Linked DNA regions of Elephas maximus indicus. The protein of the gene in region 1 purifies or fractionates together with the protein of each later gene. This does not show direct contact. Links are inferred from orthologs where the notes say so. Each region holds a gene or a part of one and is shown on either strand. Other genes may lie near its edges.

Evidence for each region. The genes of interacting proteins can lie anywhere in the genome.
Region 2: the proteins of PHB1 (region 1) and SLC25A5 purify together in Homo sapiens (affinity purification with mass spectrometry; 3 studies listed by BioGRID and IntAct, with this or other methods). This does not show direct contact. The link is inferred for Elephas maximus indicus from reciprocal best matches to the Homo sapiens genes PHB1 and SLC25A5.

Annotation. Positions count from the first base shown.
Region 1 is NC_064837.1:44,182,277-44,186,022, reverse strand, and holds the start of PHB1 (prohibitin 1), read right to left. Parts: upstream 2,846-3,746; 5' UTR 2,799-2,845; intron 2,789-2,798; exon of another isoform or gene 2,715-2,788; intron 1,576-2,714; 5' UTR 1,539-1,575; coding exon 1,451-1,538; intron 1-1,450.
Region 2 is NC_064846.1:37,412,515-37,416,260, forward strand, and holds SLC25A5 (ADP/ATP translocase 2), read right to left. Parts: upstream 2,976-3,746; 5' UTR 2,815-2,975; coding exon 2,704-2,814; intron 1,715-2,703; coding exon 1,228-1,714; intron 1,014-1,227; coding exon 873-1,013; intron 482-872; coding exon 324-481; 3' UTR 69-323; downstream 1-68.

The DNA.
Region 1 (3,746 bases):
CTGGTGCTTTCTGTTCATTTATTAAGTCTCCCCTCTCCTGCTCTGTCTTCCTGCACTTCTGGTCTCTAAAGGTCTCTAAATAGCTACAAAACTAAGTACTCACTTCCTGTCCCACGTGTCTCCCCAAGGACTTTGGTAATAGGATCTGTTCCTCAGAGTCCTTTCTCCTTGAAAGAACTGGTTGCTGATTTTCTGATTAACCATCCCCTCCCCAAATCACCACCAATGTATTTCAAGAAATGACTTCCTAACCTTCTTTCAAAAACTCACTGAGGTCTTTACTGTTACTATGCTTAATCCTGGCTCCAATTTAACCCAGTGTCCCAGAAGCTATACTCTCACCATGGGAATCCTAAAATTTAAAAGGTTCCAATCCTTTCTAATGGAAACCTTGTTGGCATAGTGGTTAAGTGCTACGGCTGCTAACCAAAAGGTCAGCAGTTCAAATCCACGAGGCACTCCCTGGAAACTCTATGGGGCAGTTCTACTCTGTCCTATAGGGTCACTATGAGTTGGAATCGACTCGATGGCAACAGGTCTGGTTCTTTTTTTTCACTTCTTCTAATACCTCAGTTTCTCTAAGGGTTGTAATGGGTTATAGAGCTATCCTGCTGATTTAGAGAGAAGTTCAGTGATGGTGGTACTGTCTTGTCGTGCAGGTGTGGCCAAAAAGATCATAGTATGAAGACGTGCCATATAAACCAAGTAAGTTTTTCTGATCAACTGCTTTCTGTTCCTGCCTCTGGACTCTATAGTTCGTTCCATTTATCTCCACTCTGAAAGTGATCCTCCTCTCATCATACAGCCACACACAAGGCAGGTCAACCTGTTGCGTGCTTTCCATGGTGGAAGTTACAGAATGTTGGAGTTGGAAAGGGTCTTAGAGATAAACTAGTTCATTGCCATTGCTTGACCAATGAAGAAGTTGAGACCTAGAAAGGTGAGGTGACTTGCTTAAGGCCACAATGTAAAGTGGACGAAAAGCCAGCTTAAACCCCTGCCACACTGCTAAAAGCTGGACAACGCATCCCAAAGATACTCTCTCTGGAACTACCCAACTTCAGCAGAGCAAAAGCTCCTGTTCAGGGCAAGGTCACCCAAATAGGTCTAAGGTTATACCAAGTTATCTCCATTTCAGCTAGCCAGTGAAATCCTGACACTCTGTTGAAGCATACAGGGTGGTGCCGCAACTTTAACAACAGCAGGAAATATCCAGCCAGCAAATGGGCCAAATGGGCCAGGTAGCTCTTTTTGAATCATGCGTCTCAGAAGAACCTACAGCCAAAAGAACACCAGGCTCTGATAACAATGCAAATACTTGGTGTGGAATGGCAGTAGGTAAGCCCTCTTGTCACAAACACAGTTCCCATCACAAGAGTCATGTGGGCTATACCAGTCAACAGGAATCTTCTGGCAAAAGACACTGACCCACCATCCTTCAGTGCCTCACCATTATACAATGCAGAGTTCACCACACCTCCTGCAACGGCTAAGGCCAAGCCAAACTTGCCGATGGACTCAAACACCTTGGCAGCCATATCTTCTGCTGGATCTTGCCTTTTAGCCCACTCAGACCTAGAGGTAAAAACAAAATAAAACAATGGAGCTCCCCCAGAGAAAGCCCTCTGTGAGACAAAGCATTCACTTCTCAGCCTGGGTATTTATTTTCCCACTTCTGAGAGCTCTAACTCTCCCACTGAGGGGTGCTTAATAAATAACTCCATGGCTTGGAAAAATGCAGTACCAATTCCTGTGCTTTTTCTTCAGTTGAAACCAGTTAAAGAAAAGGGGGTCTAGGGGACTTGGCTCAATGATGGGAACATGAAGTCAGCAAGACCAAGGCACGAGCCTGATACCAAGGAGAATTTTTCGCTGCATTCTAAACAACTCTCCTGTTCCCTGGACAAGTAGGCCCGAGTGAGAGGTCGTGTGGCTTGTTCTGTGAAACCAATTCCAGTTTGGAAAAATAACCCAAAGAAGGTGCTACACAGTGATTCCAACAAAAATAACTACTAATATTTATACCAGGCAGAGTTCTGTGGCAATTTATTTCTCACAATTCAATGAAGTAGATGATTACAGATGAGGAAAGTGGAGCAAATGAGCACATTAGGTGAGGAGCCTAAGATCACACAGCTATTCAGTGGTGGAACCATGATTTGAGCAGGGTGGTCTAATTCTAGAAGGCACAGCTTAACCCCTCATCATACCGCTTCTCAACATTATGTATTAAGAATACTGTTATTATGGAAGCAAGAGCTGGATGACATTCTGGAACCAAGATAACAACCGATTTGGGCATAAAGGTTCTAAGTAGCTTCACAGCTAAAGAGCGCTCTTTACGTGTTGGTAGGGTGGAGCTGAGGTAGGGTGGGCGGGACCAGAGTTGACCTAACTAAAAACCTACTCCAGCTTTTAACTTTTTTTCTCGTTTTGTTCTTTGATGCCCCGCCCCAACGTTTGCTCCCCTGTCTCAAATCTTCCCTTTTAGACATCAACTCTTGAACCTAATTTGAGCTCTTTCCGTGCATTTAAATCTTTCTTCCCGCAGCCCAGAACTTCTGGTCCTTCCCCTTCAGCTATTCCATTTCTAAAAGTTTTTGGATTATTCCTCACCCTGCCCCCATACACACCTCCCTCACTCTATGGAACCCCTGTCCCGTCCCGAACCCATCCTCTTTCCCTTCCCCTGCGAAGCGGACCCACGCACGCACCCCGCTCGCCCGAAGAGTGTATGCAAGGGAAGGGGAATTTGCAGAGACCCCCAGCAGGCCTGTACCACGTTCCACCATTCTCACCTGCTTCCACTCTGACCTCCACATGAATTCCCCAACCACACACTGCCCATGCGCCCGGCAGCTCCTCCTCTTTCCCGCCCCCTTCCAATATCCGTGCCTCTGATTGGTGAGGAGGAGCGCTGTGAGTTCTGGGAAGGGTAGTTTGCAGCCTTGCCCTGGTTCCTCGGCTCTTCGGAGGTGGACTACGATTCCCAAAAGGTCAAGCAGCGGAAGCCCCGCGCAGAAAGGCGTTTTCTCTTTGGACGTAACCGCAGAGAGGTTGCCGCAAAGCCTTTTGGGGGTTGTAGTTCCTGGGGCACATGCCTATCCTGAACTGGTGCTAGAGCCTATCCGAAGAAGGCCGCCCCTAGAACCCCAGGATAAAACGGCTGTGCCAGCAGCTGGTGACCGGACTGGGCAGGGCAGGGACTAGTCTACGGCTGATGAGAGAAGAGGGACGGGTACCTTCGTAAAACAACTGGTGGGTGGGAGACCTTGAAGGAAGCTGAGATGCCGTCTTCTTTCCGAAGCCCCGTCCGAAAACGTCTTCGAAATTCCCCAAAAGAAACCCACTGCCATCGAGTCGATTCCGACTCATAGCGACCCAATAGGACAGAGTAGAACTGCCCTATAGAGTTTCCAAGGAGCGCCTGGTGAAGTTGAACTGCCGACCTTTGGGTTAGCAGCAGTAGCTCTTACTCACTACGCCGCCAGGGTTTCCGGAAACGTCTTTAGAGTCATGGATATTGATTGCCAGAACCAGAGGGAATCTTAGAAACCAACAGGACTAGAGAACTGAGGCCCAGAGAGGGGAAGGGAGTCATTCAAGGTCATGCACGAGTTAGCACAGGGGCTTGGCTTAGAGTCTGGGTACCCTGGACACAGTTTTTTAAAAAAAGTTTTATTTGGCAAAGTTGCAGGAGTAGCACAGAGAATATATGTGTACCCTTTACTCAAATTCACCGGTTG
Region 2 (3,746 bases), on another chromosome or scaffold:
CCCAGAAGCTTAGACCCATAGCTGTAGCATGTATGTAAAAATAAACTGCAAGCAAGCAAAAACTGCATTTCAGATATTTTTATTTCTTCAAACTTTTTATTTATCAGGAGTGACTGAAATAAAAAACAGAACTGAGTCCCATCGTCATCAACACAGAAATGACTTTAAGAGAAAACTGGTCAGATGAATATTATTGCTTCCCATTTTCAACCAGCAGATAGTTGCTGTTGATAGACAGCCAACAGTCTGTCAAGAATGTTCAAGATATGTTATATATAACACAATATGCCTGTTCACAGGGGTAAACAAAGTAGGAAATAAACTTATGTGAACTTCTTGATTTCATCATACAAGACAAGCACAAAAGCACCACCCATGCCTCTGAGCACATTGGACCATGCGCCCTTGAAAAAAGCTTTGCCGCCTTCATCACGAGCAATCTTCCTCCAGCAGTCAAGTGTGCCTGTGTACATGATATCAGCTGCAAAGAATAAACATGGAATTGGTGACTGAGGGCAGATGAAAGGCCGAAAACTCAGTAGGACAAGAAGGGAGCCCTGCCTCCCTAAAAGCTAGTGTCCATTTTTGTAAACCCAACATTTACACATTCCCGTGAGCAATCGTCAACTATTAATGCTGTGACTAGAAAATAGGGATATGCAAACAACCCATTGGTCTTAACCTCTAGGACCATTTAAGCACTCTCATTCAGTCATCTAACAGCCTACTCAAAGGCAGCTGTGACACAGAAGCTATCAGTCCCAACCCAGGATCCAAAGACTGCCATTTTTAAAGTCAGGCACTGCCAGTTTGTGGCCACAGCTTGCCCCATGCCCACGTCTCTGACTATCTCCTGCTCAGGTGGAACTTACTTCCTTTGCGCCCTGACTGCATCATCATGCGGCGACGAACAGTGTCAAATGGGTAGGAAGTCAACCCAGCCACGGACGTGACGGTCTGAGCTATCATCCAGCTGATGATGATGTGAGTATTCCTGGGATCTGGAAGCATTCCTGAGAAAAGGAAAGGAGACACTTTGACCAAAAAGCAGAGTTCTACTTAGTTGTGGTTTTCCACAACCCCCAAACATTTCCTCATTTCTACACTGGATGACCCTGGCTTTCTTAAGCAATTAAAAAAAAAAATCTCTGGAAAATTAGGCTGGCATAACAATCTTTTATAAATGGTCTCTTAACAATGCAGCTTCAAAGTACATCGCAAACTTACCCTTTGCAGTGTCATAGACACCGAAGTAGGTAGCTCGGTAGATGATAATACCCTGCACAGACACATTAAATCCTTGGTACAGGCCCTTAATCCCATCAGATTTGTAGATCTTAGCCAGGCAGTCACCGAGGCCTTTGAATTCCCTTTCGGCACCAGCTTTACCCACGTCAGCTGCTAGACGGGTACGAGCAAAATCAAGAGGGTATACAAAGCACAAGGATGTGGCCCCAGCAGCACCACCTGATGCCAGATTCCCTGCAAAGTAGCGCCAAAACTGGGTCCGCTTGTCCACACCACCCAGGAAGATCTCCTTATATTTATCTTTGAAGGCAAAGTTGAGAGCCTGGGTGGGGAAGTATCGGATGACATTGACCAGGTTACCACGCCAGAAGGACAGGACTCCCTGCTCCTTGGGGATACGGACCACACAGTCGATAATGCCCTTGTACTGCTTATCTGCAGTGATTTGCTTGCTGGCATGCTGCACCTGAGAGAGAACAAGCGGGCCAAGAGGGACATTTATAACCATGTAGAAGCTGAAAGGGAGGCGAAGATATCATCTCAATCAATGTCCTTTAAGGTTAGCTACCCGCCCCGCCCCGCGCCCCCGCAACAAGTCTAGCCTTGGGTATCATACAGGTTGGACCCTCCTAAGCCCTGAAGCTGTCTCAGGTGGAAGAGGTGACATGCACCCTTACAGGCATTAAGCCTCCACCCATTTGGGTGGAGAGGGGGCACCCTCAAGAAGACTGTCACCTTTCTATCTGAGAGAAAGGTCATTACCTCAGACCCAGGTTCACGGGCACTGAGTCCAAGGTAGGGTGCGGTCACCTTGATGACCTATACCTCAGGTCTCCTGCACTGCCTCCCTCCTGCTCCGCCCCAGCTCCTCTCCTAGAAGCGACTGTGCCGCCACCCCGACTTTCACCCAGGAGCTCCCTCTAGAGCCGGAGCGGAGAATGGCGAGGCGTAGGATGGCTGGCCGGGAGGCGGCGGCTGCGCGGGGGAGGTTGTAGAAGCACACGCGCTTCCCGGCACCGACTTCCGGCCCGGCAAGGTTTGCGCGCCACCCACGTTGGGGGGCATGGGACCGGCCGGCTTGGCCTCCCCCGGGCTGTTATTTCCTTGCCGCAACCTTGAGGTCCTCCGTAAGGCCCGGGGCTCCTCTTTCTCGCGCCTGCATTCAGGCTTCGCCCTTGACCCCAAAGCCCGGGGAGATAGTCGCTCGCAACTTGCCGCATCCGGGATGCTGAGCGCCTGGCCTTCCTCCCCTCCCTCCATCCCGAGCCCTTCCTAGGCACCTAAACTTTAAGTCCCTCGTGTTGGCCGTTTGGTCCGACTTTGTCGCGATCTCCGCCCCATCCCGTCACTTCCCCGGACACGTTTTAGAGTTGGCTCCCCTTCGCCCCTGGGGACCCTGGCTTTGTGCGCGACCCCTCCCCACTTCCTGGTTGGGCTCGCGACCCCTGGACTTACCTGCAGCAGGAGCTTGACCCGTTCGATGGGCGCTACCGCGGTCTTGGAGATGGCCGCAGCCACTCCACCTGCCAGGAAGTCCTTCGCGAAGGACACAGCGGCATCTGTCATGTTGAAAAAAAAGAAGGCAGGCGACAGCAGCAATGGGACACAAACCGGCTTTGACTCCGGGGCTTTGGGGCGGAGCAGAGCAAATGGCTGATTTATATACGGAGAGCCGGCGCCAAGGCGGCCGGCGTTGGGGGCGGGCCCCGAGCGGGAGCTGAGCCGCGGCGCTCGGGGCGGCAGCACCGCTGATTGGCTCAGGGCGCGGAGGGCCGAACCTCTGGGACCCGCCAGGGCGCCGCTCTCCCCGCGGCTCTGGGCCGCCACAGCACCTGGTCCGGCAGAAGGACGGGGCGGGCCCAGGGAATACCCAGGATCTGGGCGCTGGAGCCTGAAGGGGGCGGGCCCTTCAAGGGGGGAAAAAGGGTGAGATCACGTGTGCTTGGACAAACCCCCCTGGAGCAGGGCCAAGACCAGGGTGAGGGGAGTGAGGGACTCGTCTCAGACACAATACTTAAGAGGGCGCCAAAAAACTCAGTAATCGCAACAAATAGTATTTTAAAGCAATATTAAAAAAAAATTCCAATAAGCAATCTATGGCCGGTGGGCCAATCACCTGCTTTTTTAAAAATAAAGCTTAATTGGAGGCAAGTGAGGCAGGGACATGCAAGTGCAGGGTCAGATCCTGTCTTTATTTGCAATTTTGATAGTATGTTCAATCGTGGATTTTTTGCATTCATTTATTACTGTGGTAAGTATACAGGTAAGAAAACATTTGCCGTTTCATCATTCTTCACATGTACAGTTCAGTGCCGTTAAACATGTCCATCATGTTGTTCATCACCCTTAACCATTCCCGAATGTTCTGCATTAATTTTCATTCTTTAAAATAAAAAAAAAAATTTTTTAATACTGCATTAAAAATTATCTATCTTGATTACCGAGTTGTTTTGGCTCGCCACCCCCCCCTTAAATTTTGTGTTGAAGTGAGTGCCTCA